Linked DNA regions of Notamacropus eugenii. The protein of the gene in region 1 purifies or fractionates together with the protein of each later gene. This does not show direct contact. Links are inferred from orthologs where the notes say so. Each region holds a gene or a part of one and is shown in the gene's direction. Other genes may lie near its edges. The genes, in order: CSNK2B, ARK2N, ZNF687 and CCNL1.

The links.
Region 2: the proteins of CSNK2B (region 1) and ARK2N purify together in Homo sapiens (co-immunoprecipitation; 3 studies listed by BioGRID and IntAct, with this or other methods). This does not show direct contact. The link is inferred for Notamacropus eugenii from reciprocal best matches to the Homo sapiens genes CSNK2B and ARK2N.
Region 3: the proteins of CSNK2B (region 1) and ZNF687 purify together in Homo sapiens (co-immunoprecipitation; 3 studies listed by BioGRID and IntAct, with this or other methods). This does not show direct contact. The link is inferred for Notamacropus eugenii from reciprocal best matches to the Homo sapiens genes CSNK2B and ZNF687.
Region 4: the proteins of CSNK2B (region 1) and CCNL1 purify together in Homo sapiens (co-immunoprecipitation; 3 studies listed by BioGRID and IntAct, with this or other methods). This does not show direct contact. The link is inferred for Notamacropus eugenii from reciprocal best matches to the Homo sapiens genes CSNK2B and CCNL1.

The regions. Positions count from the first base shown.
Region 1 is NC_092873.1:85,319,442-85,327,405, forward strand, and holds the start of CSNK2B (casein kinase II subunit beta), read left to right. Parts: upstream 1-4,952; 5' UTR 4,953-4,993; coding exon 4,994-5,081; intron 5,082-5,119; exon of another isoform or gene 5,120-5,229; coding exon of another isoform or gene 5,230-5,278; intron 5,279-7,710; exon of another isoform or gene 7,711-7,964. Other genes in the region: GPANK1 (G patch domain and ankyrin repeat-containing protein 1), read right to left, coding at 2,027-2,471, 3,737-4,344. UniProt on the Homo sapiens protein: Regulatory subunit of casein kinase II/CK2.
Region 2 is NC_092875.1:327,641,046-327,648,603, reverse strand, and holds the start of ARK2N (protein ARK2N), read left to right. Parts: upstream 1-4,552; 5' UTR 4,553-4,846; intron 4,847-7,558. UniProt on the Homo sapiens protein: AMPK substrate important for exercise capacity and skeletal muscle function.
Region 3 is NC_092873.1:305,102,863-305,110,372, forward strand, and holds the start of ZNF687 (zinc finger protein 687), read left to right. Parts: upstream 1-4,498; 5' UTR 4,499-4,530; coding exon 4,531-4,615; exon of another isoform or gene 4,616-4,635; intron 4,636-5,113; exon of another isoform or gene 5,114-5,890; intron 5,891-7,510. UniProt on the Homo sapiens protein: May be involved in transcriptional regulation.
Region 4 is NC_092877.1:368,068,167-368,076,048, forward strand, and holds the start of CCNL1 (cyclin-L1), read left to right. Parts: upstream 1-4,877; 5' UTR 4,878-4,937; coding exon 4,938-5,294; intron 5,295-5,421; coding exon 5,422-5,496; intron 5,497-6,517; coding exon 6,518-6,627; intron 6,628-7,882. UniProt on the Homo sapiens protein: Involved in pre-mRNA splicing. Functions in association with cyclin-dependent kinases (CDKs). Inhibited by the CDK-specific inhibitor CDKN1A/p21. May play a role in the regulation of RNA polymerase II (pol II).

The DNA.
Region 1 (7,964 bases):
ATGTAAATTTGGATGTGACCCGTGAGAATTTGTTTTGTTGACTATGCTTATGTGATATAGAGCTTCAATACAGGTTGAAACTATCCTTTTGGATTCCCAGTTTGTGTTGAGCAGTAGCCACTTGAATCAACTATGATCTTTACACCACTGGTTCCTTAGACATAAGATTTTCAAACTAAACAACAACCCTAAATTAACAGAGCACAGAATTATACAGTGATAGCTCATATAGGAATCCTATGTTGAGACCCCTAGCCAATAAAGCCTGGGGCAGCCTGCTAGGCAACTAGCTGAACTATAATAAGCATTATCACCAGGGCTACACTCTCTGTCCAGCTGTCAGCACAAACTTCTTTGTCTGGCATTCAAAACTCTCCATGATCTGGCTCAAACCTGTCTTTCCAGTCCTACCTCACATTACTACTGTCACAGAGTCTGTCAGGGGTGGGAAACTTGTGATCTTGAGGCCCTCTAGATCCTCAAGTACAACCCTTTGATTGAATCCACACTTCAAAGTTCCCCATTCCTGGTCTAAATTACAGGAAACTAGCTTGAACTTTCCTGGTCTTTCCTAATGCTTGGAAGGCATTCCATTCTCCTCTCTTTCACTCAAAATACTTATCTCCTTCCCTTTGCTTCTCATCATGTCTTCCAAGTAGGGCAGTGTCTACCAAGCAGCAGCTCATCTGTTATGTCTTTCCTGTCTACTCTGACCGTCCTCTCAAAATCTAAGTAAATTGTAGTAACTTATACCAAAAGTATTTAATAAAATATTCCACAGCATTCTTGTAAGCAGGGAGAGATGGAAAGACGTCTTCCAGATTAGATGACTTGTATGGACACAATCAGAGATTCAGAAATGCTCAAATAACTGGCTTGGCCCTGTGCTGTTTATCATTTGTATCAATGACTTGGACAAAAGCATAGACGGCACATTCATTTTTGCAGATCACACAGTGCTGGGAATAACCTAACACTGGAGAAGTCAGAATCCAAGATCTTAACAGGCTAGAGTGTTGTCCTGCATCTGATAACATGAAATTCATAAAGATAAAAGAAATTGGTATCAATTCAATTCCAAATGCATTTAAGCCTGCTTAGTTGGTGCTGTGCCAGGTGCTTAGAGCACAAAGATAAAAATAAACCAGTCCTTGCCCTTAATGCACTTCTATTCTACTGAGGGGAATTTGTATATGTAAGAAGATAGAACATATTTTGTCTGAGGATGAAGAAAAGTGCCGATAGAGAAAAATCAAAAAAGATCTCTCATAGGAGCTGGCACTTGAGATTGAAATGTTTCAGGTATGGGGAACTGCCTATGCAAAGGCATAGAGGCTGGAGATGTTACACATGAGGAGTATCAAACAGTTCACTTTGGCTGAGGGGGGTGAGAAGTAATGTGAAATCAGTCTAGAAAGAATGATGGGTTCAAGATAGATTGGAAAAGGCTTAAATGCCAAAAGAGTTTGTATTTTGCCCTGTAGACAATTAAAGAACTACTTAGTACAGTTCTTAGAACACAGTAGGCACTTAAAATGTTTATAAATTACTTAAGGTTCATTGGCCTCTCTGGTCCCACTTTCCCCTTCTGTGAAAATGAATGGGTTGAATGAGATCATCTCAAGTCTTTTCTAGCTCTAAATTTTATCACTCTACAACACATAGCCAAAACGGTGGAAGATAACTCAGTATGAGTTTACTGCTGCCCCTTCCCCATCCCAGTTCCAAATTCCACCCTCTCTCAAAACTGTCCTACTCCCCTCCAAAGCAGGAAAACATCACAAAACAAAACAAAAAAGATATGTTTATTTCTCAACTTTAAGCAAGGATGAATCAACCTTTGCAATCTCCCTCCAGCAAAGGCTAAAATCAAACTAAACAAAATCCAAGATTTCAAGTCTAGGAAGACCCAAGGGACTAAAATTCCAAGTTCAGGGTCAGATGTCAGCAGTAAGATCCTTGGGGGTAGGTAGTCACAGGTCTCCAAAGAGTCTATGATCAGAGATCATAGTTTATATAGTCAGGATCAGAGATCAAGGTTCATGTAAGTCCGTAGATTCCGTTCCCAAGCTCGACTCCTCTCCTCTCGATGTCTCTCTTCTCTCTTGCCCAAAGTGGCAGCTCGAGGTGCTCTTTTTTTTTCAGCCACAGCACGAAGGTCCCCAGCAGGAAAATGTGTGACTCGGGGTTGAGAAGTTGGCCTATATCCCAAACCTTCCTGGTCTCTCTTGAGGATTGTAGGAATGGGAGCAGTGCGCCCCTCTCCCCGGGGTCCCAGTCCCAATCCAGGCTCCCAACCCCCCTTCACTAACAATCGAAAGCCAGGGCTAGAGGCAGGGACTCCTGGAGGCAAGGGGGGTGGCTGAGGCCCATGGGACAGGGATAGGAGGTGAGCAGTAGAGCTGTTGTGATTAGTGTCTCGGTAATGGGAACTACAAGTCTCACAGTATTTTGGCAATGGAGAGCAGGGCCTGGAAAAAAAAAAAGGTAGAAAAGAGTGAAGGTGGGCGTCTTTTCAAGGTCCAGTTCAGTTGCTTCCTCTTCTATGAAGCCTGATACACAACTGCTCATGTTTCTTCCTCTAATTTTCCTAAAGCACTCTGGAGCTCTTTTGTGCCTTTTACTCAACCTAGTAAAACACTTATGCAAGAACTACAATAAACTTAAAGTTGGAAGGAGATTTAGAAGTTATCTAGTCCAACCCCACTCTCTAGTTAACAAATGAGGAACTGAGGCCCAGACAGACAGACTTCCCCCAGTCAGAGGTAGTAAGACAGAGCATCGTATCAGTCCCTGGTAGGCTGTAAGCTCTTCCAGGGAATCTGTGTAGTTTTGCATGTTCAACTTCCAGCATACACAGCGCCTTAGATTTTACTGGCATTGAATAAGTCTTCAAAGACTGTATTACTTTACTGGACAGGAGGCTCAAGGTTGGCTCAGCTCTGGAGTTGAAAAGGGTGACCACACCTTATTAATCCATACTCCTCGGGTATACTTTCTCACCAGTCCTTAGAAACCAGGGCCTTGCTACCATAGAGAACAATCTCAAGGATCCCCAGGTGGAAAGGAGGCTAGGTATTATTGGCCACCGACTCCTTAATGGGGTGGGGTAGGACAGTGTAATAGTGAAGATGACGATAGCTAACATTTGCAAAGTTGACCATGTGCCTGGCACTGTGCTCTAAATCCTTTACAGCTATTACCTCATCTGATCCTCCCAAGAACCTAGGTTAGCAGTAGATGGGGGAAGAGGCTGAGGAGCATCCTCAGATCTGACCCATGGGCTGTCACCTCCAAACTTAAAATCCTATTTGGTAAATAAAGTCCTTGGACAAGGGAGCCCTCGAGTCCCTTTCTAGGTTTCCTACACCGCACTCACCCCCACACCGAGATCCAGTGATAATGCCCACCTTGCCTTCCTCTCACAAGACAATCTTCCAGACCATGGGCTTTCTTTCTGGCCGTGCCCCAGGCCTGGAATGCTCTCCCTCCTCCTCTCCACTTCATGGCTTCAAGTCCCAGATAAAACCTCACTTTCTACAGGCTTTTATCCACCTCCCTTAATGCTAGCGCCTTATCTCTTTCTTATTAATTCCAGCATGAAGCTGTTTGCATGGCTTTCGCCCTTAGCCAGTAAGCTCCAGGCTCGCAGGGAAGGTCACCGAACTTTCTTGGTGACTCGGACCCTTCCCCGTCAGCTGCTAGACTGGGACGGTGGCAGGGGGCTGCCACTCACCGGCTTTGGGGCCTCTCCTCTCCACCGCTCTCTCGGACCATCCGGGCCACCTCGGGGAAGCCGGCCTCTTCGGCCAGCTGGGCAGCATCGCGCCCCCCGGGCTCACAGACGCCCACCCAGGCGGCTCCTCGCGCCAGGAGGTAGCGCACTGCCGGTCCCTGGCCCGCCCGGGCTGCACACATCAGCGGGGTCCACCAGAAAGCGTCCCGGGCGTTGACGTTGACATGGGCCCCGCGGGCCCCCGGGCCTCGGGGCTCCAACAGGGCGCGCAGCTGCCGCACGTCCCCGGCCTGCGCAGCCCGCAGGAGCCGCGCGGTCTGTCGCTCCCGGGTCCCATCGCTCTCGGCGCGGGCCGCAGCCGCTCCCGCCGCGGCCCCGGCCCTCTCCAGCCTAGTTTTCTGCGTCCGTTTTCTGCCTTTGGGGGGCGCCCGCGAGGGTGCCGGGGGCCCTCTGAGGGCGTCTCCCTCCACCCCGACCAGGGCTTCATAGAAGTTCCGGGCGGCTGCACCGTCCAGGGGGAGCTCCGACTCCGGCTGCTGCCGCCCGTCCTTCCAGTGGTCACTCGAGTCCCGGGCCGGGGTGAAGGCGATAAGGGCGGGGCGGGTCATGACTGCTGGGGTGGGGGAACATCAAGCCAGCCGCCCTCAGGAGCAGTTACCGGGCCAGCGTGGAGCGAACGCCAAGTGGGTCATCCTAAAGCTAACCCAGTAAAGGGCGGCAAAGCCCCCCACCGAGACTTGTAAGCGACCGGCAACCAGGAAGTAAGTTCAATGATTACAGGCCTCCTCTCTGGATCCCACCTCTAACTCCCTACGCTCGGTACTCGACTTCAAGTCCCAGTAGCAACCAGCGCCAGGCTGAGACACGGCGCCGGCGCAGAAAACACTCCGGAAGTAGATCACTGAGAAGAGAGTGCGCCTGCGTCAAACTACAGTCTCAGTCTGGAACCAAAGGAACACTTGAAGCGTGCCGCCTTGACAGCACCCGTAAAATAACCTGGCGAGATGGAGGACTGGAGGCCGGAGCGATGCGGAGGTGGTTAAAAAGAGGCAGATAGACACACAGACACATACACACACACGGGATTCTGCGCCCGCGTTCTGTTTATTTTGCTCCTTTTCTCCGCTCCTTAGCCGCCGGTTTGATTCGAATTGCTCGGTAGCTCGAGGCAGGCGCGTGCTCAGAGGCGCGAAGGCCCCCGTGGGGGAAGGGAGGGGCACCGGCCGTTAGGGTTCTTCGTTTGCATAACGCCCCACAATGTGCTTCGTTCCTCTCAGAGTGGCCCCCGAAGCCCATTTCCTGGGGCCAGAGACGGGGTTTCGGTGGAGTCAGCTGCCCAAGGAAGGTGGGCACAGGCCTGCAGGGTGCAGCCAAGTCTAAACGCGAATTAGGGCCAGGCTGCCTCTCACTCTTAGTGCAACCAGCATTTGAGGGCTAGACAAAGAGCCCTGTGCTGCTGCAGGCCAGCCTAGCCCCTAGGAGTGGAGGAGGAGATGGAGAAGGGCAAGGGGACAACTAACAGGATGGCTGGTGCCACCTCAGGTTAGCGGCCCCCTCCCATGACAAGCCCTTTACCCCGGAGGCTGGGGTTAAACCCTTTCACTCCCTAGTACCACCCCACCTCCATTCTCTGGAGAGAAGGGGCAAAAAAGAAACCTGGTCATCCAGTGCTCTGGAGGAGGGTGGACATGAGGACCTGTTTGGTAGAGCTGGCGCAGGGGCTAACTTGGTATGGGGTGATTTGTGGAGAGGTGGGAATAGAGATAGATGGTAAGGGTTAATTGGCAACTTGGAGGAAGAAATAAAAGATAGGGGTAATGAAGGTTGGATAAAGGGAGAGAGGAAGATGAACTATGATGAAGGAAGATGGGATGAAGGAACGCCTTCATACTTTACTGAGAAAATAGAAGCTATCCTTCATGAACTGTTCTTACCTATTCTATAAACCAACCCTCTCAATTATCCCCCATTTTCTTCTTATAAGAAGGCACCCCTTCTCCTTGTCAGTCCTCTCTCAACTTGTACCCCTTCATCTTATCTCTTCCCAGAGCTTGCCCCTCTCTCCTCTTATCCACTGACTCCTTCCCTCTTATCTACAAACATGCTCAAGCCTTCCCCATCCTTGCCTAAACCCTCACTAGCACACCCTCAAACTATCATCCTACATGTATCCTTTTCACAGCCCAACTCCATACCTCTCCCACTACCACAACCAAAACGGGTTTCTCCAAGGTTATTAATAATTTCATTATAAATTATTAATTTTCTTTAAATTATAAATCAAATGGCCTTTTCTCATTCCTCATCTTTTCAGTTTTTGAAACTGTTCATCACCCCCTCTTCCTAAATACTTGCTCTCAACTTAGCTTTTATCACACTACACTCTCCTGGTTTTCAAGCCTGAAGGACCATTCCTCAGTCTCCCTTGCTGGAACATCATAGGTATTCAAACCACTAAGCATGGGTGTTCCCCCTGAGGCTCTGTCTTGGGTCCCCTTCTTTTCTTTCTTTACAGTATTTCTTTATATCAGTTCCCAAAGATTCAATTATCATCTGTATACAGATATCTCTCAAATCTACATATCTAGCCCTAATCTCTCTCCCAGATTTCAAGTTCCAGATCAGTTAGTTCCACAAACACTTGTTAAGCATCTACAGTGTACCAGGCACTGTACTAGGCATTTGGATACAAAGACAAAAACACTGATGAATAAAGTCTATTGACTGGCTGCTGGATATTTCCACCTGGATCTCCAACTCAGCGTATCCAAAATAGAACTCATTTCCCACCATGCAATCAGCACTCATCATGCCTAGCCAGGACTATTGTAATAGCCTCCAAGTTGCTCTTTCTGTTTCCAATGTGTTCCCTTTCCAATCTATCTTTAACATAGAAGCAAAAAAATCTTGCTAAAACACAGATCTGAACAAGGCACTCCCCTAATCAAGAAAGTTCTGTGGCTTACTTTTGCCTCTAAGATAAAAGACAAATTCTTCAATTTAGCTTTTAAAGTCACAATCTAGCTCCAGTTTAGTTCCCCAGATTTATTTCACACTACTCTCCTTCATCCACTCTTGTGTTATAGGCAAACTGACCTATTTACTTTTCTCTGAATTTGGCATTCCATCTCCTGCTTCTGTGATGTGCTGTGCCTTTAAAGATTAAGAATAAACTGAGAAGCATTATGATACATACTCTACCTGTGAGATATGTAGGGGAAAGACTTTCCAACCTCACTTAGGAAAATGTACAGGAAAAATGTGTCTCATCTCTGGAATGTACTCCATCACTTTCATATCTTAGAATTCTTTGAAGGTTCAACTCAGATGCCAACTCCTGCAGGAAGCCTTTCCTAATCCTCCTAGATTTCAGTTTTCTCTCAAATTATCTTGTATTTATGTATATGTACCTCATTGCGGGGTCGAAAAATACCCACATCAATGAGATTGCACAGATCAACTTGGAATACTGGAATACATGTATTCTCCAGTAGTGTTTTTCATAGTGTCTTTTGTAATCCCACACCCATCAGTGCTTTGAATATATAACAGGCGTTTATATAAAAGTTTGTTAAAGTACTGGATGATGAAAAATGATTGAGGAGAATGGGATGATGAAGGCTAGTTAGGGGGATGAGGATTGTGAGAAAAGGGGAGATGACTGGAAATAAGGGTGAGGGATGACAGATAGATGACTGGGGAAGTATGCAGTACATTTAGTATAAACTGAAGAGCTAGACCGTTATTGTAGATACCTTACCTGTGAGACGTATAGGAGAAAGACGGTCCAATTCCAATTTAATCCCAATCTTGTTCGGCTCGCTGATGTGTAGGAGAAAGACTCTCCAAACCTTACCTAGTCTGGGTGTTGCTCTCTGTGGGCACGAGGACTACATTTCCCATGTTCACCAGCGCTAACCTCGATCTCGGGCTCCTGTTTCCAGCATCTTAGAGGAGAGCCTCCAGTCCTTCCTCCTTTGTGGCCCCGCCCCCTGCCCTATTTCACTGAGAGGACAGGGGCAAGGGTGTCTTCCGGAAGTCGTATTATTAGCCCAGCCTTACTACTGTTCAGGGACTCCATATCCCGTCTTCCACGGGGGGAGCCTGACCTCCTGCGCCTGCGCTCTGTGTACTTTCCCGCCCTCCCGTTTCTCTTCCCCCTTCCCCTCCCCCCTACCCCCCCACCGCTTCGCCTGCCGCGGTCGGGTCCGCGGCCTTCGCTGCGCGG
Region 2 (7,558 bases), on another chromosome or scaffold:
TAGCTCGAATATTGAAAAGCTTTCAAATTGTTCTAAGAGTTGAGAGTAAAATGATTGTCCCTTTAAACTACAAATCCCAACATACTAGCCAGTTCTCAAAGCCCTATCACAGTTATTATTCTTTCATATTTAAAGTTCTGTGGACTATTGCCCAGACGAATAATATAACTTCTTTTCTCTAACTGAATAAAAATATGGAAAGTTCAACATCACTGTCATCATCATCCTCATCATCAGTGGTACTTCTCACATACTACCTAGTATTTTTATTATCTTTTAACATACATACTCTGTCTCTTCAAGTAGATATTAAGCTCTTTGAGGTCAGAGACTATGCCTTTTATTTTTATCCTCACTCCCTGGAATTATTGGGTATATGATCTGAGTCCAATAAATGTTTGTTGAATATATATGTATATATATATATATATATATATATATATATATACTGTTGACCTGAAAACTTGGTTAGAGAAAAGGCAACATGGCTAAATGCATACATTTTATGATTTAATTAATTAATCAATTCCCCATAAAGAAAACAGTTACATAGCGCTATGGAGTCAGAGGTGACTCTGACTACCTAGTACAGAAATCATCTGTCTTAAGTACATTTTGCCATGAGAAAGAAACTCTCCTAATTAAGCAAATCATAAATTCAGTAAGACAGGACAATTAACAAAGCAATGTTAGTCAGGCCTTGGGATTTCAGGCTGGGTAAGCATATGTCTCGGTGATAAGGAAAGAAACCCCACCACTAGTAAGTGGCAGGCTTCCTCCCCTAAACAGATAATTGACATAGGAAAGGGTAAACAATGTTCAATAGAAATTACGACCTAAGATGTCTATATTTTCTTTACCATTAATATGCCATAACATAGTACATGTCTGTAGATAATAAGATTCAAAGGAAAGTCTCATTATTCAAGATATAGTGTCTTAGGTTAAAGGTCTCCTTAAGGAGTGTAGAGTCGGCCTTGGCTGGCTTTTGCTGACATAGGAAGAGGCACTCTCTGAGTTTACTTCAGAGAGAACAAAGAGATTATTCCAAAATTTTATATTAAACATTATCAATACATACATAAAAATATGCACATGTACAATATAATGCATATGTTATAAATATTATATACATTTATTATATTATTGTACACATTATGGACTATATACACATTAAAAACTATAACATGCACGTACAGATTATATACATATGTGTATATGTATATAATCACGTGTCTGTATCTATACCTGTATTGTTGTTCAGTCATGTCTGTGACCCCATTTGGGGTTTTCTTGGCAAAGGTACTAGAATGGTTTGCCATTTTCTTTTCCAGATCATTTGACAGATGAGAAAACTGAGACAAACAAGGTTATATGACTTGCCAAGGGTCACACAGTTAGTGAGTATCTGAAGCCAGGTTTTAACTTTTGAAGATGAGTCTTCCAGATTCCAGGCCTAGCACTCTGTGCACTCCACCATATATATATATATATGTTATATGAAACCTAATCCTGGACAAGTAAATCTGTCCATTTATGCAGTGAAGATTTACAACTCTGGTGCAACGTATAGTCTTAGAAAACTATCCTGGGCACTTAGAGATTAAATGATTTGTCATAGCCAAACTGCTAATATGATAGAGGCAGAAGTGGAATCCAGGTCTTCCTAACTTCATATATGCAAATGCATATATGATATACAAATACACGTATGTATGCATATGTATCTGTCTCTAGCAAACTTGTATTTATTCTCTACTCCTATAGTGCTGTACAGTCCAGTTTGAGATGGGGTACAGTACAAAGAGCTCTGAACCACAGGCAAGTCATTAAATCTTACTGAGCCTTAATTTTTCTTCTATATAAAATGGAGATCATATTGCTTGTACTCCTTATTTCATACGGTTATTTTAAGGAAAGTGCTTTGTAAACCTTATCATTCTATGTAAATATAAACTCCTATCATTTTAACTGACAAACATTTTCTTTTGAGATGCCAATGTCACTGGGAAAATCATCATCTACTCCAATCCATTTCCTCATTTTATGGATAAGGTAGTTGAGGTTCAGATGTACCACACGAATCTCTAAATAAGAATAGTAAAATTAAATATATTTATAACTTTGCTTCCTAATGGCAGAGCCAGGCTCAGAACCTACTCAGTTTAATGTGTTTTTTATACTACCACATACTGCCTCTTGTACCTTAGTGTTGTAGAATGAATCTTTCCCAGATTTCAGCACCATTGTGAATATTTTTCTGACCCATCTCTTGTCTTTTAAAATAAATTTTTGTTGATATGTTTTTTACATTTTACCAGAATTTCTCTCAGTATCCTTTCTCCTAGAGAACCATTGCATGTAACAATATTTTTAAAGGACAAAAAATAAAAGAAAAAGATGAAGAAGAGGAAACCCCCTAGCAAAACTAATCAACCCCTTTCTTCTTTAGATTTAGTAACACTGTGCTTTTTGCCTTAATAAGAATACAGAGATAACTTTTGGAAATTAAAAAAAAATTTTTTTTCAAAGAATTTACATTTAACAAACATCACATTAAAACAGAAAACAGAAAATGCATATGAGACCACAAGCCTCTTACTTACAGTTTACCCTTTTAAAATTATATAATACATTCAATATATTACTTTTAAAGCTGTTAGTCAGTCAATAAGCAATTATTAAATGGTTGCTATGAGCCAGGCACCTTGCTACCCAGATTGTGTTTCTGAACTCCCTTCTGTTTTATTCTATTCATTTTCTCTTAAATGATACAGTGATTCTCTTTTCTTTCTTTTCTGTTTAGCAACATGATTGCTAAGCCCTTCTCTGTCCTTCCCATCCCATTCTCCTTTGCTGAAACAAAAATGAACCCCCAAAAACTCACTAGAAATCTCAGGAAAAAATAGTCAAGCAAAACAAATCCACACACTGACCATGTCTCAAAATGTGTATATCCTTCTGACCGTTAAGTCCATTACTTCTTTTTAGGCAGTGGCTAGCTTCATTATTGGTCTTATGGAATTGTGCTTTGTCATTGCATTGACTGGGGTTCTTAACTCTTTTCAAAATTATTTTTGATGAGTCTTCTTGTCATTGTATAAATTGTTCTCCTGGTTCTGTAGACTTTACTCTGCATCAGTTCACACAAATCTCCCCAGGTTTTTCTGAAAGCATTCTTCTGCCATTTTTCATGGTGCAATAATCTTTTATTATATTCATATTCCTAACTGATGATCACTCTCCTCTTTTGTTTCCAGGTTTTTGTTATAACAAAACAAGATCTATTTTGTACTTACATGTAATCTTCCTTTTCTTTTAATGTCTTTAGGATATTAAGCCTCATACTGTACCTTTGCTTCAAAGGATATGTGTCTTTCAGCGATTTTTCTAGTGTAGTTTCAGATTGCTTCCCAGGATGGCTCTACTGCTATATAGATGTCAAAGAGTACATTTGCTGTTTCTGTCTTTAGGGAGTCCCTCAAACAGCTGTCACTTCCTTTTTTTTGGTTATCTTTGCCAATGTGGTGTGTGTGAGCAGGTGCCTCTGAGTTTCAGTTTCCATTTCTCTACCTATCATTTGGAACTGTTTTTCATATGGTTGTTGATAGCTTGGATTTCTTCCTTTGAAAATTGCCTGTTTATGTCCTTTGACCATTCATGTTTTGGAGAATGATTTGTTCTTGTATATTTCAATCAGTTTCTTACAGGTTTTGGATACCAGTCCTTTATTAGAGAAACTTGCAAAGATCGTTTTCTCGGAAAAATTGTGAAACTGCTGAAGTTTATGCTCACAACCTTTCTTATTGCCCATCCGACCTCCTCAGGAGCCCATTACCTCCATATCCTTCCCCTTCCCTCAAGAATATCTGATATTCAAAAAGGGTCTGAAAATTTATTCTCTCTAGAGTGTTAATATTATTTTTCCCAGGGTATAATTTGAGTTTTAAAAGGGCATTAAGTCTCTAATCAAAGAATGACTCTCAATACTAGAATTTTAGGAATCAGCTTAAGAACTAGAAATTTTGTTTTTTGGAGAAAGGACCATTTTTACACTTCTCAATTTACGCCAGTAGATAATCCTGTAACAATTAACAATTCATAAAATGTGCCATTAGTGTTCAGCTGGTTGGCTCCTATTAGAATTACATGCGTGTGGGAAGACGCGGGGAGTCTTGGGGGGACGGGGTGTCCTTGCTGGCTGAAGTTATTGAATGGATAACGGTTTGATTGAGTAAATCAGGGGAACCTTCACGGAGGAGACAAAATTTTGTAGAGTCCGGAAGACCGGAGTAATTTCCTCTCCGAATCTAGAGCAAGTTCGAGTGGAGGACACTTAAGAGGGAGAGAGGGCTAGCTAGAGCCGCTGAGATTACAGCGCGCCAGGTTCTGCAGCGGGAGGATCACCGCATTAAGTCCTGGAGGGGGCGCTCTGACGCTTTCACGGCCTCCCCTTGCTTCCTTCTTCCTTCCCTCCCCCAGGAGCCCCTGGTGCAGTCGTCACTCTAGCTGCCTGGCGGAACCTCGGTGGTTCCGGGCGGAAGTGAGGCGCGGAGCGGAGCGGAACGGCCTCTGGTGACATTTTCTCCGGGCGGCGCGGAGGAGAGAAGGGACCCGGCAGCGGTGGCGCCCGTGCTGTCGAACCTCGGCCCCTGCCCCCTCGATCCGCTGGGGGTCTGCGTCCGGAAGGAGGAGTCTGCGGCGGGAGCTGCCGCGACTGGGGCCGGGGGAAGTGTCACAGCGGCGGGAGAGGGTCTTTGATCAGACAGCCATTCAGTCCGTCCGGGCTCCGGGCCGGGAGAGCCAGGCGGCGGGGGACGGCGGGAGGAGCCGCCGCGGAGCGCAGGTGAGCCGGCCGGCCCGGGCGGCCGCGGGCCTCGGACCTGGGGTTTGACGGTCCAGAGGCCCGGCAGGGGCGGCGGGACCTGCCCCAGTGTGAGGCGGAGGGGCTCCGGTGTGAGTGTGTGTGTTGTGTGCAGTTTGTGTTATGTGTAGCGTTGCATGTGCGTACCTGCGTGTATGTGGTGTTGTGTGTATGTGTGTGTTCGTGTTGGCGTGTGTGTTGTGTGAGTGCCCGTGTGTGTGGCGTGTACATTCCCGATAACAGAGGCCATTGTGGTGTTCCCTTCCTTTTGTATAATTGGGGTCTGGAGGGGACCCAGGTGGTGATAGGCTGAGTTTCTGCTCCACGAAGTCCGGAGGTGTGTGGGGGGTCTGGCCAGAATCCGGGCGGCACCGGCGGCCGCCACTGGCGATCTTGGGGCGCGGGTCCGGACCCGCCACCGCTAGCTTCTGGAGAATAACAGGCGCGAGTTCTTTCCGGTCTTTCTTCCATCACTTTTTTGGGATGGGGGTGGGGGAACCCCAGATCAAGTGGGAGGAATTCCTTCCAGACTCTCCTTGAGGGGGATTGGGGTTCCCGGAGTTCTTTCTCCTCCCAGGAGCGGGAGCTCAGTGGAGCAAGCCCCACTTTCTCCTGCGGGAGGGGGAGGGGGAGGGCAGGTCATAGTCTCAGGGACTCAGCAGTTCCCCGGCCGCAGTCCTCTGACCCTCCGGGGCCAGACTGGGACTTTTCACTTTGGTCTGAGTGGACTCAGGAGTAACTCATTCCAAGCTTTCCACCAGAGCCAGGTTTTTGCAGTGACCTGGTGCTTATGTGCCACCCACCAGCCACAGTAAGGCTGCGGAAGGGGTTCTCTAGAATGGAAGCTTTTCCATACAATTTGAATACTAGCCTTACCTTCTTTCCCCCACAGCTCCCCCTGCCCCAGTTCAGTTGGAGGACATCCTCAACCTTAATATTTGTCTTTGGGAGTTTTATCTCTCATCCTGAGATTTCTGGGTAGATATTACACTCCTATTTTCTAGAAATTAATTTCTGTCCTGGATATACATGGATTTAAAAAAAATTTCTTTTGAGGGAGGGTGGGTGGTTTTGGGTCTTTTTGGGGGAGGAGACAGGGAGGGGCAGGTTGGAGAAAGATTAGTTTATTCATGTATGTTCCTATTTCCCATGCCTGCATGAATCGTGATATCTTTCCATAGAAACAAAAAATTCCTACCTTTTTATCAAACTCTGGCCATTTAATTACAACCACATCTAGCAGTTTTGTTCAGGTTATATTATTTTGTGATATCATAGGCCAAGGTAATAATTCGAAACAGAAACTTGAATCAGCCCTCTCCAGGGATAATTTTAAAGATGGAGATTATTAACCTGCTAATATGATGGCGATTTTGCTTATTCCACCACTCTGAGTTATTTCAGCCATCTAGGCTTGTTAAACCTATTAGAGATTTAACAAGTATTTTTAATAGACCTACAGTTGATAGTGTTACTTGAATACTAAAGTGTTGGAATCATACATGGGCATTGATGGTACCAAAGGTTCCTATTTTGTCAGAATGATTTGTACAGTTGAGGAAAACTTTAAGTGAAATGCACTTAAATTATATAGTTTTCCACATTAATGTGTTTCAAAACAGAGTAGTTAAATTTTACACATTGTCCTATTAGAGAAATAAATATGTTCAACTTAAAAAAATCAGCACTTGTAATTTAATGAGTGAGGAATTGCCTTTAGTTCAGATTCAGCTGAATTCAGATAAATGCATGCATGCATGAATGAAAAAGCATTTTTTAGGTGCTTACTAGGTGCTAGACATTACGTTAAGTGCTGGAAATAGAATTTTTTTTTTTTTTAGAGATACCTTCCCTCAAGGAGCTTAGATTTTAGTAGAGAACTCTAATAAGGGATAATAATAAGTTTTGTTCTGGGGAGGTGGGGAGATGGCGTGAGGGTATGAACTCGAAGACTTATAGATGGTAAAATGACTTGAGTGGATGGCTGAATAGGATGTGAAGCTGAAGCACTGTTTGGTGCCTCTGGCCAGCATGTAAATATATTGGGTTAAGTGGGGTAGTTTTCACATACTCAGTCACCAATCAAATGGGTTGGATTCTGGGACTGGAGCTCCATAATTTACCATTTTGGAAAATTTTCTGTTACTAAAATGTTTAAGGATTTCCCCACTCAGCCAGTATGTCTTATGTTTGACTTGATAACAAGTCTTTCTGACTTCAAGTCCAGCCCTGAACACTATATTGCCTCTACACATTTAGAAGCTTAAGTATAGCTTTATCTTTTTGGTGTCTATGCAGTTGTAAAAGCAAAGAACAGTAGACCCAGGTTTAAGACCTGGTGCTGCCTCTTGGTGTGGGACATTGGTAAGTCACCTAGCACCACTGAGCCTGTATCTGTAGGTGTAAAATTGAGAGGATGCTAACCTCACTATTATTATGAGGATCAGATGAGGCAGAGTATATAAAATTGCTTTGAAAACTTTGAAGTACTTGCAACTATGAGATAGTCATTTACCCTGGGTAGTATTTTCATGTTATAGATGGAAATTTCAGTTCAGATGTGCAAAATCTAAGTGAAACAAGAAGAAAGAAATACAGTTTTAAAGAAACTGACATTGGAAATACTAAGTGCAATGTTTTTCAAGCAATTTATATTGGAAGCACTAAGTACAGTGAAATTCTTAAGTGAAAGTA
Region 3 (7,510 bases), about 220 Mb from region 1:
AAAAAATAAAATGCTATTAAGTAAAAAAAAGATATGACAATATTTGGCAACAGATTATATATGTGAGATGAAGAGAGTGACGAGTTGCGAATAATGCTCTGGGTACGAGTCTGGGAGAGTGAAAAAAAGAATGGTGTTGACTTTAACAGAAAAAGAGAAGATTGGCAGAAGGGTGGGGTTTTGGTGTCTGTCACAGAAGTAGGCTATGGAATCTCAAATTACAGAAGCGGATTATGGAATCTCAAGTCATGGAAGCAGGTTATGGAATCTCAAGTCATAGGGAAAAGTAAGAAGACCAGTTAGGTGAGAGTGTGGGAGAAGGAGTAATTTATAATCTGTCTGGAAATAGCACCAGATAATGAAGGAACTTTAATGCCAAACAGAGGAGTTTATATTTTATTCTAGGGCCATAGGGAGGAGTTAAGCTTTTTGATTATGTTTAGATCTATGCTTTAGGGATATCCATTTTTTTTCAGTCAGTCAACAAATTAAGCACTTACTATGTATCAGGCATGGTGCTAAGCACTGGGTATACAAAGTAATGCAAAAGACAGTCCTGGTCCTCAAGATACTCAGTCTAATGGAAGAGACAACAAGTAAACAAGTTATATATAGGATAAACAGAAAATAGTCAACAGAGGGAAAGCACTAGAATTAAGAGGGATTGAGAAAGGCTTCCAATAGAAGGTGGGATTAAGAGTAGACCTGCTTCAGGTAAAATGGCCTAAAAGACCCTAACCTCTATTTGAATGTAATTATGAAAGTACTACATTTCCCAGGATACCTGGGTCCAGAAAACAAAGATGGATTACAGACATCATTTTGAATGAGATCATGGAGATGATAGGCTTTTGGGAGGAGGAGAGGGACATTCAGGAACACAAGTAGCCACGGAGCACCCCTGAAGCTCCACAAAGCAAGGAGTCATACTAGGTACAGAGAGATAGTAAGACCAGCTGCCTTCTAAGCAGAAATGTGGATGTTATATTCACTTCATTTTACAACCTCTTATTTCAGTTACAGACAGACTTTATGTAAAACTTCCCCATTGGAATTAGAATTATTTAAATGAGTTAAAATTCTAGGCTACTTTTGGGGAAGGGGTATGGGCCATTTACTGAGAACATGGGTGGCGATTGCTTTCCACTGCTTTTTGTATATTTCTGACCTGAATGAATATTTTGTTGTTCCAATGCTGTATGTACTGAATGTACTTCATTCAGTATGTGGCCCAGGAGCTCAGGGGGAATGGAGGACAGAGAGAGATGCAAGATTGATGGTTAGGGGAGCTCCTGTTTAGGCCATGCAATCTGCCCCTCTGGTGCATTGTTACAACTTTTAGGACTTAGAACTTTTAAAAGTCTTTTCATTTATCCTGCAACTGAACTCTATAATATGTTGTTTTTCCTCACCCTACCATCCCTCAAGTGTGTACTTGACCATAGATTGTCTTTCTGTAGTTGTCATCCATCCCCAGTACTGAGCATAGCACTTGGTACTTAGTAGCAACAGGAATTCAATAAATGTTTTTTCATTAAAAAAACAACAACAAACCTTCCAGCTCTAAATCTGTGACCTGAGATGAATAAAAGAGACAATTTACAGGACCAGGAGGAAAAGAACTTTTACAATCATTTAATCTAATTCTCTTTTTACAGATGAGGAAACTGAGATGCAGAATAGTTAAGTGATTTTTCCAAAGTCATCCTATTATAGATTAGCCAGGATGTAAATCCAGGTTGGCTAACTCTAAATCTAATGCTTTTTCCATCATACCATCAATCCATATTCTTTTCATCCATAGGTAAGTGGCATAGTGGCTAAAACCACTGACCTGACGTCAGGAAGACCTAACTTCAAATTAGGCTTCAGACCTTCATAACTGTGTGACCCTGTGGGAAAGTCACTTAACCTTTCCCTGCCTCAGTTTCCTCAACTGTAAAATGGGGACAACAATAGCACCTACTTCACAGGGTTGTGTGTCTCAAATGATATTTATAAAATGTGCAACGGTACAGTGGCTGGCACATTGTGGATGCTCAATAAATGCCTTTCTCTTCCCCATCTTAGATTTATAAATCAAATCTAGATCAGTGTAGGCTTTACCCTAAGACAGAGGCTCTTAACCTTCTTTGTGTCACAGACTCCTTTGGCAGTCTGGTGAAACTTAATGGATACCTTCTTTCAGAATAATATTTTTAAACGCATGAGATAAAACACATAGGATTACAAAGGCAAGAAATTAAATTTATTATATTCAGTTATTACTTTTTTTTTTTTAAAGACCCCAAGTTAAGAACCCCTACTATAATACTCGGAACATATCCAGATAGGTTGGAATCCAGCAATTTCAACTTTATGATGAAATTATTACAATTTGCAATCTGTTACGTTTATAAACAGTCCTTTCCTTGGATAGATAAAACTACTAGTGACGCATTTCATCTGTGGTCTGGTATTGATTTCTGAATTTATAACTTACTTTGCACAAGTCTCCAAAACACTCCAAGGAATGAAAAACAGGCTGTCATAAATGCCCAGGAAGTAGCCCCAAACTACCTCCTTCAGCTCCCTTCAGCAAAAGCATTAGATGGCTTCTCATTGCCTATATGATGAATATCATGTGTCTTAACCTGGCTTCCAGCATCTTCCATAACCTCTTTGCCATCTACATCTTCCATTTCAAGGATTCCCCTTTACTCCCGCTGAACAGGTCACTTCTCTGTCCTTTACACATGACATTCACAATCCTGCTTTTGGGTGTTTTTTCAACATATCTTTTTCCTGAAAAGGGACATTCTCCCTTCATCTCCTCTTCTAACTCCTACCGAAGAGCACTTCACATAAATACATTACTTCATGTGACAATTCTGAGAGGAATCAGAGTCCACAGTTATATATAAGGAAACTGAGACATATTTAACTTAATTGACTTAGCCCTGAGTTATGACAACTTAGAGCCAAGGTGGAATTCCAGCCCAGGTCTTACTTTAAAGCCATCAGCCGTCCAAAGTCCTCCATGCCAAGGCAAATCCGGGCTAGATTTCTCCTGAACTCTCAACAGCCATGGTTGTCCAAACTCTGGGTTTGCCCCTTTGCTGTATGCTACCTTGCGTGGGTTATAAGCCTTTGAGGGCAAGGACTTTGCCCCCCCCCAATCATTTCTTGGAGGGGTCTAGGCACATCAAGCACCATACTGTATGGTATCAATGATGGGGAGGAGCGGGCATTCTGATGGCCAAATTCCTTTTTCTGTTTCTCAGTTTCTTCTTGCCCAAAAGGAAAGGTTGTTTTGGGTCTCTAGGGTTAAATTCAACCCCAAACCCTGTAATAATACCCCCCAGTAATTAAGGGGCAGCACAGCGAGAGGAAGTCAAGCCTTTATGACTTCATCAAATTGAGGGAGACTCAAGGTGGGTGGTCAGGAGAAGAAGATAAGAAGCTGCCCACTGGCCACAAAGGGGCCATTAGGGGTAGGTGGCAAGGTCACTCACTGGATGCCCAAGTCAAGCCAGACTCCACGTGTCCCCTGCCCCCGCCCTCCACCACGTCACAGAAAGAAAGAAAAGGCGAGGAAAGTGGGGCTGTAGGAGCATCCTTAGGCCACGTGTAGTTTGGTGTGACGTCACCACGCTGATAAGAAAAACTGGTACTGCCCCACACCAGAGCTCGTCATGACGTCAGGTGACGTAGTAGCGTCGCCATAGTGTCATGGCGCGGCGTTCTGTCGCAGAGGTCGTTTGTATGAGAAACTAGCTTGGACAGGGTACTTCCTATCCGGGTCTCTCTAGGAGTCAAGGAGGAGCTGCCCCTCCCTCTCTAAGTCTTCATCAAATAGAAACTGAAAACTCTTTCATATTTGCATAGATGAAGACAGGCCAATGGGCTTTAGGAGAACCGAGGGACGTCGGAGAGCAATCTACTCCAGTGGAGAAAGAGGGAATCAGGCCGGGCAGTTGGTAAGCGACTGAAGCTTCCTCCAATGAACTTTAAGAAGCTCAGGTAAGAGGGATGGGCACGTTTCGTTCAGGACGGCGACCAATGGCGAGAGGGGTCCTCTGAGTGACGAGGGCCCCGGCCCAATGAGGATTGGAGGAGAGAGGGAACTTCGTCCAGAGCGACGTCAGCCGAAGCCACTAGTATCTGACGATGGGCGGGGCTAGAAAGCGAGCGACGGGCGTGACATCCAATGGCGAGTGCAGAAGCAGGCGGCTCCGGCCAGGAGCGCCGAAAGGGTTGAGGGAGGGGGAAAAAGCTCTACAGTGGAGAAGCAGGAAGTAGCCGCGGTGAGAAACGGAGGCAGCGGGGAAGGTGGCGGCAGCGGCGTCTGCAGGAGCTGGGTAAAGACCGCATAGTGTCAGCCTGGCCCGGGACCGGAACAAGTAAGCCCGCCCCGGGTAAATACCCGCCTCCGGCCCCGCCCCCTCCTTGGGGGCGGGTAAATACCCTCCCCTCCCCCACTTGGGTAAATCCCCCCTCTCTCGGGGGGAGGCGTCGGGGGGATTGGGGGTGGAAATCTGTACCGTGAGGATGCTGCTCCGCCGCCGCCGCCGCCCACCTGGGTCCGGCTTGGGGTGGGTGAACCCCCGGCAGAACCGCGCTCCCGGCAAGCCAGGTAAATACCCGGGGGACCGGAGGCACCTCGCTGCCGGCCCCTTCCCCCTAGTCTCCGGCCCAGGGCGGCGACCGGGTCCCGGGAGGCCGCGAGGGAGCACGACCCAACATGGTGCCTGCACCCCGGGGGAGAAGGAGTCGCGGACCGGCAGCCCTCCTTCCTTTCCTTCCCTCCCGACCCCCGCTGACCGGCCGCCCCGAAAGACGCGCCCGGGCCCGGGTTCGAAGGCTTGAGGCCTGCGGGTCAGCCCTCCCCCTCCCCCAGCTCGCGCCTCCCAGGGAAGCTGATGTCCTGAGGCCCCGCCCCGCCCCACCCCGCCTCACCCCACCCCAGGGGGCCCTGGGAGAAGCCAGAGCCGGCGAGCCGGGAGGGCGTCCGAGCTGGCCCCGGGAGCCCCGGACCACGGTCGGTTACGGGCGCCCTGAGACGCGGTCCTGAAACTCCTGCCAAGGAGAGGAGGGAGTGGTGGGCCCCGGGGCGCGAGCCGCCGCAGGCTGGCCGCTTGTGTGGGGGCCTCCAGACCCCTCCCCCGCCTGGCAGCCTCAGTTTCCCCCTTCGCCTTTCCCCGGCTCTGCCTCGCTGCGCTCCTCCGAGCCTGTGCCTCAGCAGATGGCAGGGACTTAATTCCGCCCGCTGCCCAGCCAGTCTGCAGCCTAATCGCCTCGTGTGCGCCGGCCGCGGCCCCTCCCGCCCCTGCCCCAGTGCCAGGCCGTGGGAGCCCGTGGAAAGCGGAGCGCTCCTGCCCTCCCCTCCCCCATGTGCCCCGAGCGGCACTCGCCCTGTTGGGCCTCCCCTTTGGCTTTTGGGCAAAAACTGAAGGAAAAGCTCAGAGGGGTGGGCGGCCAACAACCTGGAGACTCGGAGGCCGGAGAGCGCTTTCCCTTGAGTACCAGGCTGCTTCTGCCTTTGGAAGTGGATGGCTATGGGACGACTTCAGAACCTAGCCTGATTCCCCCCCCTTCCCCCGCTAGTTGCGGAGAGGGGTGTGTGAATGAAGTGGGGTGTACTCTTCATAGTCTGCCACTCCTCTTCCACCTGCCCCAAGGAGAACTGGGAGGACCTCTATGAGAAATAGCCAGGCAGCTCTTAGGAGAGCTTCCAGTTAGAGACTAAAGTAAGGGACTTTGCTGAAGAATGGGAGAGGATTCCCCATTTTGCCTCAAGCTGGATAGGTTTACCCCCTCCCCCCTCCACTGGCTCCCAGAGGTCCCTCCACTAGTACCTGCTGCCACCTGCAGAGACCATCTCCAGTTACCATCCTGGGTCTGGGGACAGGTGAGGGAACTGGCCCCTGGAGGACCAAAGGCATCTTGAGAAAAGAGAAAGGGGAGGGGATTTGTGGAGGTAGAGACTCCGTCAGCTTTGTTTTTGCAGAGATTGGCCAAATTTCAATTCTTTACCTCTTTTTTTTTTTTAATAGGGGTAGAAGGGGGTAAGATATTGAAGGTTACTTCTGTTTTACGGCCTTGGGACAGAGTGAGGGACTGTGGCTGGGTTTGAATGGAATTAGTTGCCACCAAGATGGTTTGAGAAGCTTTTTACCTTGGCAGCCTAAGGGGGGTGGGGGTGGGGTCCTGTCTCTCCTTCAGCCCCCTCTTGAATCCTAGGTTAATTTCTTTGGGGCAGTGTTGCCATTAAGTTCTCCTATGCATCTTGGTCCCTTGTCCTGGGAAGAAAGGAGAAGAGAGGAATATGAAAAAGAAAGGAGGGGCTGGCTGAGGGAAGTCTGTGCCACTCTAGGGAAGGCTGGGGAACTGAGCAGCAGGTGTTTGTGACTGAGGAGAGGCCCCAGAGCTGGGACTTTTGTGACAAGATCTACTGTCATTGTCTCTGGATCTCTCACCTAATCTCTCTGTATTTCTGTTTTCCCTAGTCCATTTTCCACATTGATCAGTTTATGTTCCCTTCTAGTTAAGAATCACCCCAGTTGGCCCAGATTTGAATTTATGGGATAACCATGGATGGTCTCAAATGGTCCCAGTCTCAGATTTCCATTGCCCACTCATCCTAATCCTTAGCAGATCTAAGATGTCCTTATTTGATCTGAAATCCAATTTTTATTTGATTTTATCCTTAAAACAGCTCTGTAGGGAGTTGGAATCATTCTCTGCCTTTTATAGGGTGGGGAAGCTGAAACCAAGTGAAACTTGTGATGAGATTAAACCTTTCTTGTGTCCCATCCTATTGCTCTGACCACTTGGCCCAATTCCTTTCTCATCTCTGTGGGCTTCCTTTGACCCACAGATGACCTTGATTGATCCTGTGGCCAATCTTGAGCCTTAACAGTTATTGATTAATTGTTTTTCTTTGCTGGGTACTGAGCTGAGTGATGGAGTCACTTCAAGGATGGGTCCCATGTCTGTATCTAAAACCTCAGCTGATTTCAGCCCTCTGTAAACTCTCTGAATTCCTCAGGACCCTTTCTGCTATATACATACATGCCTGCACACATCCCCATCTCTTTCTCTGACTTTCTGTGTTTACCTCACTTCATTGTCTTCAGCTTCCTCCTGCTATCCCTTCATATCCCTCCATAGCCCTTCCCTCCCCTCCCCTCCATCCTTCCCCAGCAGCTCTTTTGGACTTTCCCCTGCTTGAATCTTCAAGGTGCTGATGGGGGTCATCTGTGTCTCAACTCAGCCTCCCTGCTCCCCGCACTGACATCAAGCCAGTACAGGCTCTCATCACCAATTACCTGGTCTCTTGCAATAACCTCCTAATTATCTTCCTGACTCCGTTTCCATACCCTCCCCGGCCTTTAATCCATTCTTCATGCTGCTGGCAGAAACATTTTTCTTAGAGATGGTCATTCCGCTTCTGATAAAACTTCATGGCTTCCTTTTGCTTATCAAGGGATATTTAAACTGCCCATCATTATTCTCCTTTTCCAACCTT
Region 4 (7,882 bases), on another chromosome or scaffold:
TCTCCTCTCCCTTACCTGGTACCTAGCAGAGCTGCTGGCTTACCTGCTTGTGTGTTCTGACACCGTGCTGCACACCTGCACACCTGCGTACCTGCGTACCTGGCAGGTACAGGTGATCCTGAGTAACGTCCTTAATTCCGCTTTTCAAAAAACAGAGTCCCAAGTCCTCGCGAACACACACCAGAACAGTTTATTGCCTAGCATTTTATTTTCCGGTTCTTAGTTTTATCCAGAAATCTTTGGAACGTAGATATCCCTGGACTGATTCCCGAACTGTGAAAGATCAGAAAGCCTTGTATGGTAGGTCTGAAGTGTGTGCCCAGTGAACAACATTCCTGTTAGAACAGTTCCCTGAGAGAACATCATGATGGTTTGTAGGTCCTAGAACTGATTGAAAGATTTTTAACAATAGGCGGATGACCCTAAATTAACATTCTGTGGTATAATAGTAAAACTATTATGAAAAGTCTCCTGATAACCATAGTTGGACAAAGCCAACAATATGTAGTGACAGCTATTTCGTGATGAACATGAAGATAAATGTCCTGTGTCGATTTTATTGGGTTTGTAAAGCAAAGTATTTTCCTTTGTTGGGATTATATCTCTTGTAGGGAATATTATTTTTAAAGTGTGGAAAGAGTGCAGATTACTTTCTCTGATTTATCTCATGTTTTTCCTGAACTTAGCCAGGGTAAGCTATGAAAAAATAAGACATTTGGGAAAATTTAAAAGTATGTTAGAAAATACATTCATGTTTGTGTAGATATAACTATATACGTACCGTATAGTTTTCATATATAACATGATGAACATATTTTAGAATCAGATCTATTATTTGACAGACATTACATGATGCTTTTTCCCTCACGAGAGCTTAAGTATGGGTTTTACTTGTAATACAGTTTTTAAAATGCTATAAATTAAATATTCCTAAATATTGCTGTTCATGCAGAAGGACTGACTGGGTTCAAAGCTCTACTCTGAGTAGGGTGATATGCAACATGTGTAAGTTTAGCCTGGAAAAGAAAAACACAAAGAATTCCTGCTGGTCCAATAGCTCAGAATCGTTACTTTTTCTATCAAATGGGTATGAGTAAAAGTAATTAGTTAGAGTATCAGTCAAAGTTAGGGTGTTTTAGTTACCATTGTTCTCTACATAGTAATGAAAAATCTCATCCAGACCCCTAAACTAAACCAATTGGAACTTTCGTTAGGACTGTATTACAATTACTACATTAGGTAAACCCTCAAAAACAAAATTAAGATAAATTTCAGTATCTGAAAATAAGGACGATTTTTGTTTTGAATCCCTGTGTGGTGACATGGTCCCTCTGTGACCCACTCTGAAGTCATGGGTCTTCTTTAACAGACTCTTTCTAGACAAATCCAAAAACTGTCTTTAACACTGGGGATTTGGGGGCTAGCCCCTACACTTTGACAGGTTAATGCCTTGGGCAGATGCCTTTCAGTTCCCTAAATTAGCCACATCAGGCTTGTTATTTCTGCGTATAAGATCATGATTCAAGTTCAGTTTTTCTGTTTAAACTTGCAGGTCATCTATATTAATCAAATTACCTGAATGATTGCCAAGTCTTCGCAGTGGTATAAGAACACATTCTATGAATCTACTACCTGTGGAAGGTTTCCATTGAAGGGGGTCTGAGCTAGTGCCGGGACCTAGGTAGATAAGTTATAAAGTAGGCAAAGTTTATGCTAACCCAGAAATCCCAATTCCTTCCAAAGCCTTGCCAACTTGAGGGAATGATTCCTATCCTGCCCAGTGGCTCACACTAGACTACATATAAACCATGAAAACTAAATTTAGTTTGTTTGTCTAGAACTGCTCCAATAAAGTTGCTTAAGTCAGCTACTAGTCTTCCTTGTTCCTTACTGCAACCCCCTCATAAACACTGCCTTTGTGAGTTCATGAATGAGCCCAAATTTAACTGACCAGTACTGACACCAAATACTATTAAACAGAGTATAAAGTAGCCCAGGAAATAATTTGGTTGAACCACTAATTGGTTCAAATGAACAAATGTTCATTATTGTCTTTTGGACTAAGTAAACTCTGAGGTCTATCCCAGCTCTAAAAACTCTATACTTCATTTTTTTCCTGTGATGCAACCTGTCAGCTTTCTATAATAAGCTTTAATCAATATATACGTATATATACACCACTCATGTCCTAGCCACTCCTCTAGAAACTACACCCAGACAACATACACAGTTATAGATTTCACTGCCCTTGGTGGTCTGTGCCACCCATCACTTATCTGGTCACCACAACTGTTTTAATGTGATGTTTGCTGTCCTAGACACACTGCACCTATGTGGATAGGTGGGGCATTCAGTCATTGCCTACCACTTGAAAAAATAAATAGAATAAAACAGTAGTGGCAGTGTTTTCTCTCCTAGAAGGGAAAGTGACCAGAGAAGCCTTTTTGAAACTGCATCATACTTTAGCATATTTCCTGTGAGAGAAGATAGGAAGGGTTGGATACACCAGGTATGCTGCTAAACTAGAGAAGAATGAAGTTTATGTAACAAGTTGATATTGAAATTTACTGGACAGAGGTGATATAAGATAACTGGGTAATGGACCCTGTACCCTTGGAGTTTATAGCCTACTTTGGAAGACTACATGTACAAATGTGAAATAGTTAAGTGGTCATGTGAAGTAATATTTGCCTAAGTGCCAAAGGAAGGATACAAATGTAATCCCATAACAGCAGGGCTGATAGGGACTTGAGGGTAACCAGGTCCAACCTGTACCTAAACAGGGCCTTCCTGTTTACAATATCCCCAACACATAATCCAGCCTCTGCTTAAAGCATCCTATAGAAAGGGATCCACAAACTGAAATAAAGCACAGAGGGCTGAGCTCCTTAGTACCTGACACAGAACAACTCACTTATCTTCAGCCTAGGTCTCCTCGTCAATAAAAGAAGCGCCTCCCCCAAAGGGTGGTTGCCAGGATCAGATAAGATACAACACAAAAGGTGCTTCTAGAGCTAAATAAATACCAGCTGTTACCATTATTACCTCCTGAGGCAACCCAAAGTTCCTTTCACATCAAAACTAAATATACCTCCTTGCAACTCCCATCCATTGCTCCTAATTCTGTTCACATGGGCCAAGAACAAATCTGAGGGTCCCTCTTCTAAGTGACAAGCTTGAAAATCTTTTACAAGCAAATACTCAGTTTCTTTAGCCAGTCCCCAAATGACATTATTATCTAGGCTCTTCACCAGGAATCCTGATTGCCCTCCACTCCTGATTTCTCCCATAATGAGGAGAGAATATGTTACTCTCACTTACCTAGGCCTGGATACTAGACTTCGCTTAGGGCAGCCTAAGGTGACATTTGCTTTTTTGGATGCCATATTACAATCTTTATTAGGATTAAACTTAAAAAATTCAAAGACCTTTTGCAGATGCTCCTCTATCCATACTTTTTCAATCTTGTGCTTAAGAAAGTACTGTTTTGAACCCAAGGTAAAGCTTCCTATTTGTGCATATTAAATTTTGTCTTATTAGTTATACCAATGTTTGTTCTAGCATGTTGAGGTTTTTTTGGATCCTAATTGTGTCATCCAACACATTACCTATCCCTCCTAACTTTGTTCCATCTACAAATTTGATACGTATGCCATATATATCTCTATCTAAATTAAGCAACACAGGGCAGGGCCAAGCATAGATCCCTGGGAACTCCACTAGAAGCATTTCTCCTAGTTGACTGACAGACGTATAACCACCGAGAACAAATTACTCCAGGTACAATCATTCCACTGGCTTTTACTCCACTTTAATGAAGTCATTTAACCTATAATATTCAATTGTGCCCACAGAAGAGCGATGAGACACTTTATCAAGTGGGTATCAACATCATGCAATTTAGTTAACTGTCCAAAGAAAGAGTAAAGAAGGTTAGGTGAGCACAAACCGTTTTCTATGCAGATTTTTTGTTTGGTTTTGGTGCTTCCTTTCCTAATCAATAACCATACTTTTAGTGTAATTTAGAATTTTGTTAGAAACTCACTGACTTTGTAAACTCCGTAAATGTTGACCTTTTTGGGGAAATAGGTACATTTGTCTTCCTCTGAGCCTTGTAAGATCTCTCAAAAACCACTGACATGAGCATAACCATCTCTCCCATCTTTCAAAAATCATCGAGGATGGTTTGGGAATCATATCTTTTCTTAAGCAGCTTATGAACGAAAAGAGGGGGGTGAGCATGAGATGATGTGCGGGCAGAGTGGACCGGACTTGTCCGCTGAAAAGGTGGGGGTCAAGAATGGGGCACGGCCGAGGTTCACCTGCGTGGCTGCAGGCTGCATAGACTGGGCTGCGCTGGGGGTGCAGGGGAGGCTGGGCATGGAATGAGTGGTTTGGAACACGCTGGATTGGAAGATGCCCGAGCCGGCTTTGAGCTGTCCCCTGGGCAGTCGGGGACAAGGTGACAACGATCGGCTGGGGTTTGGGGGAGCAGCGGACCCCCGGCTGCGTGACCGAAGACCTCCGGGGCCAGGGGGTTCAGGACCCCGGGCCTAAATGCGCGAGGGGAGGGCGCTCTTCGTTGTTCCGACGCAGCCCCGCGTTTTCCTCCTGCTCCAACGCGGGTCTGAGGGGTGGTCGGGAGGACAGCTGCACCCCAAGGCAACCCGCCGGCGCCCCGACAGGCCAGCGTGCTCCCGGGGCCCGCCGCCCCGGCCAGACGACCTCAAGGAGGCGGCGCCCTCCGGCCGGGAAGAGACGGTTGAACAGGGACTACTTTTCGCGGCGCGCGGTGACGTCACGGCGGAGGCGGCTGCAGGGCGTGACGCGTCCGGCACCTGGCAGCGGCGGGAGGAGCCGGAGCGGCCGCCGAGCACTCTGGTTATTCTCGCCGCGGGTTCCGGCTGCGTTGGGCGTGCGCGGTGCTCGCTGCGACGATGGCGTCCGGGCCTCACCCGATCCCGGCCGCGGCCTCGGCTTCCTCGGCCTCCTCCTCCTCGGCCCCCGCGGCCTCCTCCTCAGCCGCTTCCTCCTCGGCGGCCCCCGCGGCGGCGGCGGCCTCGGGCGGCCCGGCCTCGGCGGCCTCCGGCGGCGGCCCCGCGGCCGGGATCCTCATCGGCGACAGGCTCTACTCGGAGGTGTCGCTGACCATCGACCACTCGCTGATCCCGGAGGAGCGGCTGTCGCCCACGCCGTCCATGCAGGACGGCCTCGACCTGCCCAGCGAGACGGACTTGCGCATTCTGGGCTGCGAGCTCATCCAGGCCGCCGGCATCCTCCTTCGGCTGCCCCAGGTAGGGCCCCGGGGCCGGCGAGGGGTCGGGGGGAGGGGCGCGGCCGGCCCGGGCCGCACAAGATGGCGGCGGCGCTGGGGCCGGGCTCGTGGCTGACCCCGGCGCTTCCGCTCTCTCCCGACTGCAGGTGGCGATGGCGACGGGGCAGGTGCTCTTCCACCGCTTCTTCTACTCCAAGTCCTTCGTCAAACACAGCTTCGAGGTAAGGCCTCCGGCCGCCCTCCCCGCAGAACCCAGGGTTGAGGAAGCACCGGTCCGTCCTCGTGCTCCGAGCTGGGCACGAACTGGGCTGGGGAGCCCCGAGCTGGGCCCGAACAGGGTTGGGGAGCCCCGAGCTGGGCCCGAACTGGGCTGGGGAGCTCCGAGTTGGGCTGGGGAGTCCCGAGCTGGGCCCGAACAGGGCTGGGGAGCCCCGAACTGGGCTGGGGAGCCCCGAGCTGGGCTGGGGAGCCCCGAGCTGGGCCCGAACAGGGCTGGGGAGCCCCGAGCTGGGCCCGAACTGGGCTGGGGAGCTCCGAGTTGGGCTGGGGAGTCCCGAGCTGGGCCCGAACAGGGCTGGGGAGCCCCGAACTGGGCTGGGGAGCTCCGAGTTGGGCTGGGGAGTCCCGAGCTGGGCCCGAACTGGGCTGGGGAGCTCCGAGTTGGGCTGGGGAGCCCCGGGGAATCGTTCAAGGTCACTCAGGTAGCAAAGAGAGAGCTGGAATTGGGACCCAGGTCCTGAGAACCTACCCTTCCTTCTTCCCCAACATGCCCCTCGGCCCCAGCTGAGTTTAGGGCCACCGGCTGGGTAATTGTGTTAGGGGAGCGCCCTAACTTGTTGTACTTAGACCAAGAGTTCTTATTCTTAAGCTTTTCCCTGTCATCGACGCTTGTCAGCCCCAGTGATGTCCGTGGACCTCTTTTCAGAAAGATATTAAAGGTGTAAAATAAATTTTGTAGGCGTTCAAAAGAAACAAAGTTAGAAAGCTAATCCAAGTTCAGACTTCCCTGTACCCCCTTTTGGACCCCAGGCTTAGAACAGTAGAAAAATTGGGAAATAACATTTGACGTATAAGGTGGAAATAGCACTATTACTTTTGTTCCAGGAAAGATGGGAGGCCAGTTTTACTTTGTGAAATTTAAGCCCCTTATAAGGGAAAAGTTGGCCAGGTTTGCGTTACTTTTTTTCCGTCCTGTAGCCTAGTCTGTCTGTCTGATCTTTTTGGGGAATGGGTTCTTTTCAGATTGTTGCCATGGCTTGTATCAATCTCGCTTCCAAAATTGAAGAAGCACCTCGTAGAATAAGAGATGTGATAAATGTTTTTCACCATTTACGGCAGTTAAGAGGAAAAAGGTAAGATTGATCTCTTTGAAAATAACATCTGTACTGTGTACCGGTGCCATCAGGTTTAATTTTTTTTTTTTTAATACTCATTTCCCAGGACCTAAGGAAATTTTTAAAAAAAGCTGTTTAGGTAGTAAAAGTTCAAATGGATACTTACGGACCACAATGTAACACATAAGATTAAGTTGGAGAAATGGTAATAAAAAGTAGCTACTCATTGGTAACAGGTTTGTTCAGGCAGATTCACATACAGTTGACTGTAGTCTTGGGGGGGCCAGTTATGGCTTAAGAATTGAAAGGGTGTGGATTCTGCTCTGAGATGATCAGCACACCCTGTTCATTTGTTTGGAAGACAAAACTTTGCAAGTGTAAACAATGTAGTAAGTTAATTTTCAGCAAAGTTCTTTGTGTAGTTTATGTCTATCTCCCTGAAGTCTAGTTAATTCTTTATCAATTGAGGTTGGCTTTTGTTAGAATACTTCTCCACATTCAACTACGATATATCGCATAATACCGGATCTGAAAGGACTGCAGGATGATAAAGGTTGAAGTTGAAGTCAAAGGGATTTAACAGGTATTTTGTTCTGGTTAGATAGTCTCAGGAATGGGGTAGAAAATAATTCTTAAAAGTTTGGGTTGAATTATAGGGAGGCATGGGAATTGGATCTTACACGTTAAATTGCAGAGACTGAAACGAAAGGTTTTGTTGAATTTGCACAGTTCAGCCTAAGTTGTCTTTTTATGTGTTTATTTAAGGAAAAGCTTTTTTTTCCAGGCTGTCTTCATTTGTAGGTGAATTTAGTACACTCTAAGGATATTCTTGGAATAGTTTAGATCTTAAGCTTCATTCTTATGGAATGCTGATAATTGGTAGACAAACTTGTTATTGCTTTGAAAGGAAGTTACAAAAGGGTAGTTATCCTGAGGTGGTTCCTACTTTATTTGGCTGGGACTTGGGAGCTAGTTCCTGAATCAGTTACCCTTTTGTCATCCTTAGTCTTGGCTGAATCCAGAAGTTGGCAGTGGTGGGGCTCTTCTGAGTTCAACACAGAAATGTGGGACATTCCCCTAAATGAATAGTGTAATTAATAATAAATTATCTGGAATATTGCTATCATAAGGTATTTTTCCAAAAAACTACACATTCTATTTCTCTCTATTCTCCCCCCCAATCCTTTCCCCCCAACATCCAATGAAACCAATGAAAAACTTTTTTTAGAGAAGGAAATTTTTAAAATTTCAAACTCTGTGACATTAAAATAGT